2 linked regions of the Anolis sagrei genome follow. The protein of the gene in region 1 purifies or fractionates together with the protein of each later gene. This does not show direct contact. Links are inferred from orthologs where the notes say so. Each region holds a gene or a part of one and is shown on either strand. Other genes may lie near its edges.

Region 1 (8,888 bases):
GGCGACTAAAATGATCAAGGGTCTGGAGAACAAGCCCTATGAGGAGCGGCTTAAGGAGCTGGGCATGTTTAGCTTGAAGAAGAGAAGGCTGAGAGGCGATATGATAGCCATGTATAAATATGTGAGAGGAAGCCACAGGGAGGAGGGAGCCAGCTTGTTTTCTGCTTCCTTGGAGACTAGGACGCAATGGAGCAATCAGGGCCGTAGCCAGAAAAAAATTTCGGGGAGGGTTGACAATTTGGGGGGGGGGGGGCGTTGAAAAATGGGGGGGGTTTGAAAATTTGGGGGGGGGGGTTGAAAATTTCGGGGAGGGTTGAAAATTTGGGGGGGGGGGGTTGAAGCCTGCCTCCTAGCTCACGCTGAAGCAAAGAGCACAGCAGGGGGCAGAGCAACCTTCCATAGCCTGCAGCTCCACCCCTGTCAACCACCTCCACCAAGTCTGGCCTCCTTAATGAGAGCATTCCACACACACACACCCAACTTGGTTGCTTCACTACGTCGGCTATTGCTGCAAGTATTGATATTGTTGATGTTTTTGATGATGATGTTTTTGGTTATTGCTAGATTGATATTTTAGATTGTGTCTTGAATTTTGAACCTTGTTCTTTCTATGTTGTACACCGCTGTGAGTCGCCCCCGGGCTGAGAACAGCAGTATATAAGCAAAGTAAATAAATAAATAAATAAATGACAGTGTGAATAAATTGTCAATATTTGCTTGAGATAGTGCTTACAGTTCTGGAGGGACTCTTAATTTTTTGCATCTCATAGACTTAGCATGGGATTTGGTTAACCAGTTAAAATTCATGATTAAACCAGGTTTTTTTAAAAAAAAATCTGAAACATTTCGGGCGGGGTTTGAACCCCTAAAACCACCCCCTTGCTACAGGCCTGGGAACAATGGCTTCAAACTACAAGAAAGGAGATTCCATCTGAACATGAGGAAGAACTTCCTGACTGTGAGAGCCGTTCAGCAGTGGAACTCTCTGCCCCGGAGTGTGGTGGAGGCTCCTTCTATAGAAGCTTTTAAGCAGAGGCTGGATGGCCATCTGTCAGGGGTGATTGGAATGCAATATTCCTGCTTCTTGGCAGAATGGGGTTGGACTGGATGGCCCATGAGGTCTCTTCCAACTCTTTGATTCTATGATTCTATGATTCTTCAATGTGGCATGCTTTCAAATATTGAAACATGCTTCTTGTATCGCCTCTTTTGCTTCTCTTTTCCAGGCAAAATTCTGCCTCTCATAAGGATTTATAGTTTCATCTAGATCAATGTTTCTCAAATTGGGGGTTGGGACCCCTGAGGGGGTTGTGGGGGTGGGGGTGGGGGGTGAGAGGGGTCGCCAAAGACCATAAGGAAAAAACAGTATTTTCCAATGGTCATGGGGGTTCTGTGTGGTAAGTTTCTATTATATCATTGGTGAGGTTCAGAATGCTCTTTGATTGGGTGAACTATATATCCCAGCAACTACATCTCCCAAATGGCAAGATCTATTTTGTCCAAACTCTACCAGTGTTCACATTTGGACATATTGAGTATATTAAGTTTGGTCCAAATCCATCATTGTTTGAGTCCTCAGTGCTCTCTGGATGTAAGTGAACTACAACTCCCAAAACTCAATGTCAATGCCCACCAAACTGTTCCAGTATTTTCTGTTGGACATGGGAGTTCTGTGTGCCAAGTTTGGTTCAGTTCAATCGTTGGTGGAGTTTAGAATGCTCTTTGATTGGGAGTAAACTATAATTCCCAGCAACTACAACTCCCAAATGACAAAATCAATCTCCCCCGCACACCACCAGTATTCAAATTGGGGCATATCGGGTATTTGTGCCAAATTTGGTCCAGTGAATGAAAATCCATCCTGCATATCAGATATTTACATTATGATTCATCACAGCAGCAAATTACAGTTTTGAAGTAGCAACGAAAATAATGTGATGATTGGGGGTCACCACCACATAAGGAACTGTAAAAAGGGGTCGCAGCATTGGGAAGGTTGAGAAACACTGTTGTAAAACTACAATTCCCAGAAGTCTATGGAATTTAAAGTGGTGCAAAACTGCATTCAGCCTTCAATGTAGATGTACCCCAAATATCTTTCAATGGCGGAGTCTCGAAAGGGAGCCAATTCTTGGCTCTTCAAAGAAGAAAAAGCAAAGATGGGGCTCTTTTCCTGACAGCATGGAAATGTCTAATTATTATCCTTCATATCACTTTGCCCTGCTTTGTGGGTTGCATTTCGTATTGGAAACCTGTCTCTATAGCAGCAACGGCATCGCATTATCCAAGGGAGATAGATGTGGAAGCAGTTAGTTGGAGGGAAGAGAAAAACCAAGACTAAGTGATTCATGCAGAAAGTGGCCATGCAAGGAAGCCAATGCGACCATGGCTCTTGGATATATTCCTGTGCAATGGAAGATGTAGTTTTGTTGTTGTTGACTACTTCAACCAGAGAAGTCAGCCATAGCAGAGCACCTGATGAACCAGCCTGGACACAGGATATTATTTGAGAACACAGAAATGCTGGACCACACCAACAACCACCATGTCAGACTACACAGAGAAGCCATTGAAATCCACAAGAAGCATGTGGACAATTTCAACAGAAAGGAAGAGACCATGGAAATGAACAAAATCTGGCTACCAGTATTAAAAACCTCTAAAATCACACCAGCAAAACAGCAGAGAGGAAACAACCAGGCACATCTTAACACCTCTCAACAAAAGGTTTTCCCAGGCTCAGGCAGGCCTTCAAATGCTAATGAAGGTGATCAGTTGAAACATTCACACCTAGCTCCAGCAGACAAAGAGTCCTTGGCCCCACCCTGGTCATTCCACAGATATATAAACTCATTTTCCTATTTCCAACAAACCTCACTACCTCTGAGGATGCTTGCCATAGATGCAGGCGAAACGTCAGGAGAAATGCCTCTAGAACATGGCCCTATAGCCCGGAAAAACCCACAAGAACCATTATTATTATTATTATTATTATTATTATTATTATTATCTGGTTTGTCATGCAATTATTATTATTATCTGGTTTGTCATGCAATTATTATTACTATTATTATTATCTAGTTTGTCATGCAATTATTATTATTATTATTATTATCTGGTTTGTCATGCAATTATTATTATTATTATTATCTGGTTTGTCATGCGATTATTATTATTATTATTATTATTATTACCTGGTTTGTCGTGCAATTATTATTATTATTATTATTACCTGGTTTGTCGTGCAATTATTATTATTATTATTATTATTATTATCTGGTTTGTCATGCGATTATGATTATTATTATTATTATTACCTGGTTTGTCGTGCAATTATTATTATTATTATTATTATTATTATTATCTGGTTTGTCATGCGATTATGATTATTATTATTATTATTACCTGGTTTGTCGTGCAATTATTATTATTATTATTATTATTATTATCTGGTTTGTCATGCGATTATTATTATTATTATTATTACCTGGTTTGTCGTGCAATTATTATTATTATTATTATTATTATTATTATCTGGTTTGTCATGCGATTATGATTATTATTATTATTATTACCTGGTTTGTCGTGCAATTATTATTATTATTATTATTATTATTATCTGGTTTGTCATGCGATTATGATTATTATTATTATTATTATCTGGTTTGTCGTGCAATTATTATTAGTATTATTATTATTATTATTATCTGGTTTGTCGTGCAATTATTATTATTATCTGGTTTGTCATGCAATTATTATTAGTATTATTATTATTATTATCTGGTTTGTCGTGCAATTTTTTAAATTATTACCTGGTTTGTCGTTCAATTATTATTATTATTATCTGGTTTGTCATGCAATTATTATTATTATTATTATTATTATCTGGTTTGTCATGTAATTATTATTATTATTATGATCTGGTTTGTCGTGCAATTATTATTATTATTATTATTATTATTATCTGGTTTGCTGTGCAATTATTATTACTATTATTATCTGGTTTGTCATGCAATTATTATTATTATTATCTGGTTTGTCGTGCAATTATTATTATTATTATTATTATCTGATTTGCCGTGCAGTTCTTATTATTATTATCTGGTTTGTTGTGCAATTATTATTATTACTATTATTATTATCTGGTTTGTCGTGCAATTATTATTATTACTATTATTATTATCTGGTTTGTCATGCAATTATTGTTATTATTATTATTATTATTATCTGGTTTGTCGTGCAATTATTATTATTACTATTATTATTATCTGGTTTGTCGTGCAATTATTATTATTACTATTATTATTATCTGGTTTGTCATGCAATTATTATTATTATTATTATTATCTGCTTTGTCATGCAATTATTATTATTATTATTATTATTACCTGCTTTGTCATGCAATTATTATTATTATTATCTGGTTTGTCTTGCAATCATTATTATTAAAATTATTACCTGGTTTGTCATGCAATTATTATTATTATTATTATTATTACCTGGTTTGTCATGCAATTATTATTATTAGTATTATTATTATTATCTGGTTTGTCTTGCAATCATTATTATTATAATTATTATCTGGTTTGTCGTGCAATTATTATTATTATTATTATTATTATTATTATCTGGTATGTCGTGCAATTATTATTATATTATTAATTGCACATCAGGGATGCTTTGAATGCAATTTCCCTGCTTCTTGGCACAATGGGGTTGGACTGGATGGCCCAGGAGGTCTCTTCCAACTCTATTATTCTATTATTTTATTAGACACATTCACATAGTATTATTATTATTATTATTATTATTATTATTATTATTTTACACACACACATTTATATATATATGTGTGTGTGTGTGTGTGTATACACACACACACACACACAGAGATATCTCTATATGCACACACACCCATACACACACACAAACACACACACACTCATATGTATATACACAAACAGAGACTAACAGTATTGCCAAGCCATTTGGTCCCATCTCCATCTGGAGGGTGGCGGGAAGCGAAGGGTTAACTGCAAAGTGGGCGTGGCTCCGCGCTACTCCTCTCCAGCCTCGCTCTCCGATTGGCCGGGGCTCTGACAGCGGGGCGTGGCCTCGCGCCTTTGCCGCAAGAAAAGGGACCAGACGCGTGTCGGCGGGGAGGGCGAACGTGTGAACGCGTGACGCCGGGGCCAGAGATGCGAGTCGACCGGGCGCCCAGCCCCGGATCCAGCTTTTGGCCTTTTTGCCTTGAGACATCCTCACCGAGACCCATTTGGTTTGATTTGAATGAGAGGATTGGGACGCCTTCCCAGCTGGAGAGAGAGCTGAGCCTGCAAACAGTAAGTGATGCCTTTGCAAAAAAATATTGGAATAATATGCAAATTGAGTGGGATTCCTGAAGGAAATGGGGAGGGAAGAGTGTGAGTGTGAGTGTGCAATTCAGGTGCAATGCACAGCATGGAGGGTGTGTGTGTGTGTGTGTGTGTGTGTGTGTGTGTGAGGGAGTGTGAAAGAGGCAGGCTGGCAGGGATGCTGCTCCTGGCCATCTTTGAAATATCTCTCTCTCTGTGTGTGTCTGCATGCACACACACACACACATTCACATATGCACACACAGACAGAGACACAAACACATTCACATATGCACTCACACAGATATGTATGTATGCACACACATATGCACACAAACCTATAGACACACATATACAGACACATACACACATTCATATATATATACACACACACAGAGAGACACACATACACAGAGAGAGAGAGAGAGATCTATATGTGCACACACACATGCGCAAATATGCACACACACACATATATACAGACACATACACACATTCATATATGCACACACACAAATATGTATGTATGCACACACACATATGCACAAATATGCACACACACACATATATGCAGACACATACACACATTCATACATATATATATATATATACATACATATATATATACATACATACATAGAGAGATCTATATGTGCGCGCACACATGTGCAAATATGCACACACACCCATAAACACACACATAAACACATACCCACAAATATATATACACACATAGACACATATGCACAAATATGCACACACACCCATACATACACATATATACAGACACATAAACACATTCATATATATATATATATATATACACACACACACACACATACATACACAGAGAGATCTATATGTGCACACACATGTGCAAATATGTACACACACCCATAGAGACACGTATATACAGTCACATACATTCATATATGCACACACAGATATGTATATATGCACACACATGTGCACAAATATACACCCACACACACACATATATACAGACACATGTGCACATTCATATATACACACACACATATTTATAGGTGCACACACACGTGCGCAAATATGCACATACACCCATAGACACACATATATATACAAACACATATACACATTCATATATATATATATATATATATATATATATATATATACACATTCACACACACACACATATATATATACAAACATACACATTCATATATATATATACACATACACACACACATATATATACACACACATACACATATGCACACACACACACACATATATATAGAAACATACAGACTCGCACACATATGCACACACAGATATCTGTATATACACACATTCATATATACACCTAGAGAGATATCTATGTATGCAAACACATATACACACATATATACACACATTAATATATACACACACATTATATATGCATACACACATTTATATATGGATGTATATATAGATATACACACACATATATATATCAATGCACACACACAAATATCTATATATATCAACAAAACACACACTTATATGTGCACATACACATATACACATACACATCTCTATGCATACAGACACACACATACACACATACAATATATATTTTTCACAAATTTACATATATATGTACTTGTCACATGCATATGACACTTTTAAAGTTGCTTCTTGTAATTTCAATATATATGTTTGAGTGCATGCACATAAATAGACACACGTTTATGCACACATACATGCATGTAGGTGCACACTCATTAGGCTTTTAAAGCTACTTCTTGCCATTTCAATATATACATGTACATGCATGTGAGACTTTTACATGCACACTATACATATATGCACACACCGATATATGCATACACATGTGAGACTTTTATTGCAGCTCCTTGCAATTTTTAATATATATTCACACACCCTGAAACATATATGCACCCAGACACGCATACATATATGCATACACATGTGAGATTTTTATTGCAGCTCCTTGCAATTTTTAATATATATGCACTTACACTGATATATGTATATGCACCCAGACACGCACACATACATGCATACACATGTGAGACTCCTTTCAATTTTTAATATATATGCACATACACTGATATATGTATATGCACCCAGGCACACATGTACCCAGACATGCACACACATATGCATTCATATGTGAGAATTTTATTGCTGCTCCTTGCAATTTTTAATATTTATTGCAGCTCCTTGCAATTTTTAATATATATATGCACACACTGTGATACATACATGCACCCAGACACGCATACACGGATATGTATGCATACACATGTGAGACTTTTATTGCAGCTCCTTGCAGTTTTTTTTATATATATATGCACACACTCTGATACAGATATGCACCCAGACATGCATACACATGTGAGACTTTTATTGCAGCTCCTTGCAATACATATATATACACACTTGTGCACACACATACACGCTATCATTTGAAGTTTGCCTCCCTTCGTATTGCATTTCCCATTTCCCCCTTTCTGCTTTGATTTTTCTATGCACATAATTCACACACACACACACACACACACCTTTGCAGACATGTGTGCTTCCATGCATTAGACAGACAGATCTGTGCACAAGTCGGAGCATCCTTCCATCCTAGGCTCTCCGTGGTGGGAACATGGTGAGGATATGATTTTTCTTTTCCGTGACTGGGGTGTTTTATTTGGGGAGGGGGCTGTTGTTGGGGATGATGTCATCAGTGGGGTGTCATCATCCAGGAGAGGTGACGCTGGCTGCATTGGGGTGATCGCTTGGATATGTATTGGTGGGGGGGGGGGGATGCACACACAACATGGCTGCAAATTATGTCATCTAGTTTTCGGAGAGGTTTCTGGCATCACTGACGGTTTGCCATTTCGTTGGGAAGCTGCAAGGAGAGACACCCCCCTTCTCCTCCTTTATAAGGGTTAGGTTCAGCAAAGATGTCCATATATGTCAGGCATATATCATGCTATATATATATATATATATATATATATATATATATATATGACATGACATGACTCCCATATGAGTGGGCACCCAACATCTCATCTCCGTCCCTATTATACCTCATCCAAAAAGAGATATGGTATCTTGCACATCAGGTCTGTGGCCGGGTCTCGTAAAGCATGAAACCTTATAATAAAATCCTATAGCCTCTCTATCTATCTATCTATCTATCTATCTATCTATCTATCTATCCATACATACATACATACATACATACACATGCACATAAATATATACATGGATCTATACATACATACATATATGAAACCTTACAATAAAATCCTATAGCCTCTCTATCTATCTATCTATCTATCTATCTATCTATCTATCTATCTATCCATCCATCCATACATACATACACATGCACATAAATATATACATGGATCTATACATACATACATATATGAAACCTTACAATAAAATCCTATAGCCTCTCTATCTATCTATCTATCTATCTATCTATCCATACATACATACATACACATGCACATAAATATATACATGGATCTATAC
Region 2 (8,667 bases), on another chromosome or scaffold:
GCAGAATCTCCTTTCCTGTAATTTGAACACATAATTCAGAAAGAACAACCAAAAGCCCCCCTACTTCTTTGCAAATAAGAATCAAAGAATTGGGAGAGAACACCATCCAGTCCATCCCTTGCCATGCAGGAACACACAATCAAAGCACCCCTGACAGAAGACCATCCAGCCTCTGTTCAAAAGCCTCCAAAGGAGGAGCCTCCACCTCATTCAAGGGTAGAGTGTTTCACTGCTGACCAGCCCTCACAGTTAGGAAGTTCTTCCTAATGTTCAGGCAAAATCTGCTTTCCTGTAATTTGAACTCATAATTCAGAAATTACTACAAAAAAGCCCCTACTTCTTTTCCCATAAAAATCAAAGAGTTAGAAGAGACTACACGGGCCATCCAGTCCATCCCTTGCCATGCAGGAACACACAATCAAAGCACCCTGGACTGATGGCCAGCCAGCTTCTGTTCAAAAGCCTCCAAAGAAGGAGCCTCCACCACACTAAGGAGCAGAGTTTCACTCCTGAACAGCTCTCACAGTTACAAAGTTCTTCCTAATGTTCAGGCAGAATCGGCTTTCCTGTAATTTGAACTCATAATTCAGAAATAACTACCAAAAGCCCCGCTCCTTCTTTGCACAATAAGAATCAAAGAGTTGGGAGAGACCACCATCCAGTTCATCCGTTGCCATGCAGGAACACACAATCAAAGCACCCCTGACAGAAGACCATCAAGCCTCTGTTCAAAAGCCTCCGAAGGAGGAGCCTCAACCACACTCCAGAGCAGAGTTCCACTGCTGAACAGCTCTCACAGTTAGGAAGTCCTTCCTAATGTTTAGGACATAATCTCCTTTCCTGTAATTTGAACTCATAATTCAGAAATTACTACCAAAAAACCCCTACTTCTTTGCCCATAAGGATCAATGAGTTTAAAGAGACTACAAGGCCCATCCAGTCCCTCCTTTGCCAAGCAGGAATACACAATCAAAGCACCCCAGACAGAAAACCACCCAGCCTCTGTTCAAAAGTCTCCGAAGAAGGAGCCTCCGCCACACTCCAGGGTAGAGAGTTCCACTGCTGAACAGCTCTCCGTTAGAAAGTTCTTCCAAATGTTCAGGCGGAATTTGCTTTCCTGTAATTTGAACTCATAATTCAGAAATTACTACCAAAAAACCCCGACTTCCTTGCCCATAAGGATCAAAGAGTTTAAAGAGACTACAAGGCCCATCCAGTCCCTCCTTTGCCAAGCAGGAATACACAATCAAAGCACCCCAGACAGAAAACCATCCAGCCTCTGTTCAAAAGTCTCTGAAGAAGGAGCCTCCGCCACACTCCGGGGTAGAGAGTTCCACTGCTGAACAGCTCCCCGTTAGAAAGTTCTTCCAAATGTTCATGCGGAATCTGCTTTCCTGTAATTTGAACTCATAATTCAGAAATTACTACCAAAACACCCCTACTTCTTTGCCCATAAGGATCAAAGAGTTGGAAATTACTACAAGGGCCATCCAGTCCTCCCTTGCCATGCTAAAACACACCATCAAAGTACCCCAGATGGATGGTCATCCAGACTCTGTTTAAAAGACTCCGAAGAAGGTGCCTCCATCATACTCTGGGCCAGAGGGTTCCACTGCTGAACAGCTCTCACACTTATGAAGTTCTTCCTAATGTCTAAGCAGAATATCCTTTCCTGTAATTAGAACTCATAATTCAGAAATAACTACCTTAGCCCCCCTGCTTCTTTGCCCATAAGAATCAAAGAATTGGGAGAGACTACCATCCAGTCCATCCCTTGCCATGCAGGAACACACAATCAAAGCTCCCCTGAGAGAAGACCATCCAGCCTCCGCTTAAAAGCCTCCCAAGAAGGAGCCTCCACCTCATTCCAGGGCAGAAAGTTTCACTGTTGAACAGCTCTCCCAGTTAGGAAGTTCTTCCTAATGTTGAGGCGGAATCTCCTTTCCTGTAATTTGAACTCATAATATAGAAATAATTGTAAAAAAAAAAAAAAAAACCCTAGTTCTTTCCCCATAAGAATCAAAAAGTTGGGAGAGACCACAAGGACCATCCAGTCCATCCCTTGCCATGCAGGAACACACAATCAAAACACCCCAGGACGATGGCCATTCAGCCTATACTGAGAGAGAAGAATAAATTTCAATTAACGATCCCAATCCAAATCATTCCCTCCTAAGTTATAGATCGAGTCCTTTGGGGGGTGAAAGGGTGGTCTAGGAATGATTTTTTTTAATTATAAATTGAGAACCAGTCCTGATTTCCCCCCGTTCAGGTGCATTCTCCCTCTGAGTGACACAGTAGATAGGACAGGTACGTGCTGCAGCGGCCCTCGGCTGACAGAAACACTTCTCCTCGTCAGCCTGGGCTGCCACACCGTCCAAACAGCCCGACAACAGGTGCGGAGGGCGGGAAAGTAGAGAGGAGGGGGAGGCCCACCTGTCCACTTCTCCCCCCACCCCAAAAAATAAAAGCAGGGCCTTCCTTCGTAGCCCAGGTGCGCGCCATGGATCCCTCTCAGCCAGGCCTCCTCCGGCGCCTTCGCGGTTTCCCTGCCTGATCGGAGGAAGGGAGGAAGCCGGCGCCGCTGCCTCCCGCTTTCCTCCAGGCCGGCCTCCTCCTCCTCCTCTTCAAGATGGCAGCGGCCCTCCTCAGCCTCCCTCTCTTCGCCGCGGAGGCCCCGCCACTCACTCACTCGTTCACTCACTCACTTACCCGGGTCTGGGGCGGTGGCCGCCTCCCCGTCCTCCTCGGGTTCCTGTCCGCAGGGCCTGCAATAATCCCGACCGAGGCCTCCTTTCCCGGCGGCGGCGGCAGTGGCGGGAGGCGCCCTCAGTTCATTCCCCGCCTCAAGCCGCGGAGGTCCGGCTCGGCCCAGCCCTCAGCGGCGTCCCCGCTGTCGTCTTTTCCTCCTCCTCCTCCTCCTTGTTCTTCAGGGCCTTCGTGGCCCCGGAGCGGAGCCAACCACGCACCCCCTCCCTCCCTCCCTCCCTTTTGGAGGGAGGTAGGCAGGCAGGCAAGAAGGGAGGTGGCCCGGCCCGGCGGGCGGATCCGCGGCGTTTCCTGGCCGGGAAGGCTGTCTTTCCTCTCGCTCACAAAATGGCGCGCGTTCCAAACCTGCGCAGCGAACGGCCAGCCTGGGCCCGGACCCAGCGTCGGAGTAGCAGTGGCGGCGGCGGAGGAGGAGGAGGCTTCAACGGCTGCGGTGAGGCCGGGCCGAGCGAGGAAGGCAGAGGCAGGAAGGAAGGAGGACAGCGCGGCGCTTGAACCGAGCCCCCGGGAAACTCCTCGCTCGCTCGCTCGCTCGCTGGCTGGCTGGCTCTCCTCCCCTCTCTCTCTCTCTCTCTCCCTCCCTCCTTCGCTCTCGCTCCTTCCCCTCCCTCCTCACTGCCGGCTTCTCTGGAACTAAGCTCCAGCCACACACACACACTCACTCTCTCACGCGGGCGGGCGGGAGTGCGCGCGCAGCCGCCTCGCTTGCTCCTTTCGGCCTCCGCTGACGAGAATCAGATTTCAAAAAAAATAAAACCTCAACTACCTCAAAATAATATATATATATTTAAAAAAGTAAAGCTTCCGTGAGGGGATTTCTAATATAACCCACTCGGAAATTAGCTCATTTAGGCGGGAAGAGGGGGGAAATTGTAAAAAAAAAAATCTTTTTTTAAAGAGGCCCAACTGACAAAATGGCGGCCGGGAGAGCCTGTTACTATGACAACTGTCAATCACGCCGCCACGGCCCCGCCCCTGCCAGGCGGGAATCCGCGCTTGAGGAAAGAGGAAGGGGTCGAAGGAGGCGGAGCTTGGTCGCCTTGGCGACTAGTGCTTCGTTCCTGTCAATCATGCCGTCAGGGCCCCGCCCGCTGCCAGGCGGGAATCCGCGCTTGAGGAAAGGGAGGGAAAGGAATGGGTCGAAGGAGGCGGAGCTTGGTCGCCTTGGCGACTAGTGCTTCGTTCCTGTCAATCATGCCGTCAGGGCCCCGCCCGCTGCCAGGCGGGAATCCGCGCTTGAGGAAAGGGAGGGAAAGGGAATGGGTCGAAGGAGGCGGAGCTTGGTCGCCTTGGCGACTGCTGCTTCGTTCCTGTTGTTATAAATTCCGAGGAGCCTGCGAGCAGGAGCGCGCGCGCGCACGCACGCGGTACTGGGGCTACCCCTCGCGCCTGCCTGCCTGCCTGCCTGCCTGCCTTCCTGGTGGGTCTTCTCGCGGGTTGCCATGGGGACGGGACGGAGCAGTCCCGCTTCAAGGTGAGGAGAAGGAAGAAAAGAAGGGACCGCAGGCCTCTCACATCCGTGCTCGGTGCCGACTCGCTGTGGTGTTCTTCCGTCTCCGCGGTGTGGTCCAAGTGGCTTCGGACAAGCATCTCCGTCAAATGGATATCATACAAAGGCCGGAGCGAGAGGAAGGGGAGTGTGCCGCTGGGTTTCTTTCTGACAGTGCTGCTGAAAGGGGAAAAGGCGAGGCCCGGCACCCGTTCGCCCGCGGTGGCGCCAAGGCCTCTCTACCGAGGATGGGAGCCATGGGGCCTTGGCGGAGACGGAGCCCCGAAGACCCGGCGCAAGGGAAGGAGGAGGGCCAGGAAGGCGCCCCGAAGGAAGGAAAGAAGGGGCCAGGGCAGCCTCCTCGCTTGCAGGGGCGCCTTCTCGCCCTCGCTGGGAGATTTTAAACACCTCCCAGGCTGGATTTTCGCTGCCTAATAATGCGGTTTGGAACTGCATTATATGGTTCCACACCGCATTATTTGGCCCTAGTTTTGGGGTTGAGTTCCTGCCATTAGGGACCACTTTAATCGCCATGCTACTTTGACAAGCCTCTGCTAATGAAATCTGGGGCCTCGCCAAACTACAACTCCCTGTATTCCAAAGCAGGGGATCATGGCAGTTAAAGTGGCCTCAAATTGCATTAATGGTACACTGCAGATCTATGGGCACACTTGGGCCTTCCCTCCAGGTGTTTTGGACATCAGCTCCCACCATTCCTAACAGCCTCAGGCCCCTTTCTTTTCCCTCTCAGCTGCTTAAGCAATGATGTATACAATGATGTAGTTGTAGATATACTGTATATACTCGAGTATAAGCCTAGTTTTTCAGCCCCCTTTTTAGGCTGACCCCCCCCCCTTGACTTATACTTGAGTCAAGGTTATTTATTATTTTACTCTGTTATTAGTATTATTTGTATTTAATCTTTTATTCTATTTGTTATTATTATTACATTTACATTATTTTACTTTATTATTATCATTATTACATTTATTATTTTAATCTATTATTATTACATTTATTTTTCTCTATTATAATTTTATTACATTTTATTTACTCTATTATTATTATTTTATTACATTTATTATTTTACTCCATTATTATTATTACTATTATTACTGTTATTACATTTGTTATGTTACTCTATTATTACTGTTATTCTTACATTTCCATTATTTTGCTCTCTTTATTATTGGAAGGATACACAAGCACATTTACGCTGAAGAAGGTTAGAGTAATGGTTTAATCAGAGTTTGACATAAATTACAGTTTTATGTAAAAATTCAAAAACATTTCACCTCCTGATGCCTCCATTAATTTAATTTCATTTATATCTATTTTTTATTTTGAAATTGGCCCATAGCTGCTGGATTTCCCACCCTCGGTTTATACTCGAGTTCATACTATTTCCCAATTTTTTGTGATAAAATTAGACACCTCAGCTTATATTCGGGTCGGCTTATACTCAAGTGTGTGTGTGTGTGTATAGTAAAAAAATCAAGGTTTGCTTTTGGGATTTTTTAAAAAAATAGGTATTTTCAAGAGGTTGAATCCATAAAGCGGACTGTTTCCCATTGGCACTGTTAGCCACGCCCTAATATGGGATGGGCAGCATAGATAACCTGATGAGGCAGGATTATGGAAGCTACAAAATACATCTGAACAGGCAAAATGACAAAGCCCTGTCCCAATATAATATCAGAGATCAATTGTCCTTAGGGTAGGCATGGGCAAACCTGACTTGAGGGCCACATGCTAGCATTCCCTGCTAAGAGGACTGGCAGCCTGGTGATGGAAGGAAGGAGGGGAAGGATGGAAGGAAGGAAAAGGGAGAGGAGGAGAAAGGAAAAAGAGAAGGAAGAAAGGGTGGAAGGAAGGAGGGAGAAAGAGGGAAGAAATGGAGGGAAGAAAGAGAAGGAAGGAAGGACAAAATGGAAGGGAGGGAAGGAGAGAGAGAGAAGGAAGACAGGATACCGAGAGAGAGGAGAGTCTGAGAAAAGAGCCCAAGGGGCCAAATCCAACCCCCAGATCTGGGTTTACCCATACCTGCTTTAAGGCAACTAAGTGTAATAAGGGCAAAGATTCCAAACCAATTATTGCTTATGCAGAAGAGAAGATTTCTGCAAGTCTTGCTTGTCATGTAACCAGCATCTGCTGAACTTCCATACAAGCACTAAAACAGTATTTCTCAACATTTTTTTTTACCTAGAAGAACCTCAGAAATAATTTTCTGGGCTCAGAGGCTGCAACTACACTGTAGAATTAATGCAGGTTGACATCACTTTAATTGCCATGGCTCAGTGCTGTGGAGTCTTGGGAGTTGTAATTCTGCAAGGTCTTTAGCCTTCTGTGCCAAAGTGTGTGGGTGCCTCTCTAGGGTTCCACAGCACTGAGCATGGCATTTACTCCACAGCATAGATAAACCAAAGAATCCTTGCATTAAAATTATTATACTTATAGCTTATATAAATGTTTGTTTTTTCAGTCATAGTCTCTTGCAGGAACCAGTGACCTCACACAGAACCCTGCTTGATAAGCCCTGCATTTTTTCATGCCACTTATAATTGGATATGCTGCATCTCATTCCTTCCTTCTCTTTCCTCCCCGCATTCCTTCCCTCTTTCTCCCTTCTTCCTTCCACCCTTTCTTCCTTTAAGAAACACTTAGGCATACTTGCCCTACTAAGTGAGGGCATGCCTAGTTCAGTCACAGGCCATGACTTGTAAGATTTTTGAACTATGAACCATATCTTCAGAGGTTTCTCAACTGTGAGAGCCAAGGCTGCTGTATGATTTGAAAACCTTACTGCTGTCAGCAGCACTACAGGAGCCCCCGGTGGCGCAATGGGTTAAAACCTTGTGCTAGCAGGTTGGTGGTTCGAATCCAGGGAGCGGAGTGAGCTTCTGTTTGTCAGCTTCAGCTTCCCATGCAGAGACATGAGAGAAGTGTCCCACAGGATGGGAAAACATCCCGGTGTCCCCTGGGCAACGGTTGGTTTGAACCCAGAGAGCTGGGTGAGCTCCCGTCTGTCAGCTCCACCTTCTCATGCAGGGACATGAGAGAAGCCTCCCACAGAATGGGTGTCCCCTGGGCAATATCCTTGCAGATGGCCAATTCTCTTACACCAGAAGCGACTTGCAGTTTCTCAAGTCGCTCCTGACACGAAAAAAGCAACACTACACAATCTTGTACATATATTTTTCAGCCATTAAGTGAATGAAGCAAACGTTCCATATATGAAACAAACCACATAGCACTCTCTTATCATTGTAAGGATATGTGTAGATACAGTTAATGTATAATTGCTCTATCTTGGACTACATGGCCCTTGTGATCTCTTCCAACTCTATCCTTCTGTGATCCTTTTTTCAAGGATTTGGGAATATGGAAAATCCAGACAATTACATGTTAAAATTGTATCCCTCCTGTGTATTTCTGCTGCTTCTTCCATCTTTATCTATATAAATAAAAATGTAATATTCATTTGTGGGATTAACAGAACTTGAAAACCACTGGACGAATTGACCCCAAATTTGCACACAAGACACCTACCATAGCAATCTATGTCCTTGCTATGTCCTCAAAAAAAATCAACCAAAAAAAAAACCGGAAAGTGCTTAAACCCCCACAAGCCTGAATGGCTATATAGACCACGCGTTAAAACGACACCTTCCTGCACCCCCCCCCCCGCACGAAGGGGGAAAAAACCAACAGTTGAGAGAGAACTGCTGGGGAGAGGGAGGGAAAGAAAGGTGACCCACAGATACTTTTCTCAAGCCCCTGCCTTTCCCTTCCCAAACACTTTTATTTATATAGATAATTTGAAATCACTGTTCCAGGAGGGAGTGGGAAGATGGGGGGGAGGGCATGGGTAATGGGTGATACACATCTAAGGAATACAGAAAGTGACATTTGAGGTAAAGTGACTTTTGGAATAATGTATATCGAAATAAGATTTGTATGGCAAAAGTTTGTTAATTAAATGGATGCATCAATAAATTATTTTAAAAGCTGATTTGAACTGCATTTCTTAATACATTTGCATCGTTGTAAACTCCAATGAATGCAATAATATTTATAAATATTGGTACAAGACCTAAATAGTGAATGACAGCAATTCAGCATCTGGCTATAGAGTAGTCAATGGCTTAGTCTGTCCTTAAGTGCCTTCTAGTTTATAGGGGACTGTACCGATAATGACCATATTTAAAACAAAACTTCTAAGGAGCAGGAGTAATGTTTGAAATACATGGAAAGAAAAATCATCAAACTGGTTTGCAGTATATTTACTCTAAAAAACTACTGAGGCAAAGTAGCTCAAGCACTTCATTTTTCTATGGGGAGCCTTTATATTTATTTATTTTTATTTATTTACTATTCTTGTATACCGCTGTATCTCAAGCCTGAGGGCG

The links.
Region 2: the proteins of LZTS3 (region 1) and DYRK1A purify together in Homo sapiens (affinity purification with mass spectrometry; 3 studies listed by BioGRID and IntAct, with this or other methods). This does not show direct contact. The link is inferred for Anolis sagrei from reciprocal best matches to the Homo sapiens genes LZTS3 and DYRK1A.

The regions. Positions count from the first base shown.
Region 1 is NC_090025.1:7,953,796-7,962,683, forward strand, and holds the start of LZTS3 (leucine zipper putative tumor suppressor 3), read left to right. Parts: upstream 1-5,119; 5' UTR 5,120-5,342; intron 5,343-7,822; exon of another isoform or gene 7,823-8,004; intron 8,005-8,888. UniProt on the Homo sapiens protein: May be involved in promoting the maturation of dendritic spines, probably via regulating SIPA1L1 levels at the postsynaptic density of synapses.
Region 2 is NC_090023.1:71,921,269-71,929,935, reverse strand, and holds the start of DYRK1A (dual specificity tyrosine-phosphorylation-regulated kinase 1A), read right to left. Parts: upstream 3,497-8,667; 5' UTR 2,713-3,496; intron 1-2,712. UniProt on the Homo sapiens protein: Dual-specificity kinase which possesses both serine/threonine and tyrosine kinase activities. Exhibits a substrate preference for proline at position P+1 and arginine at position P-3.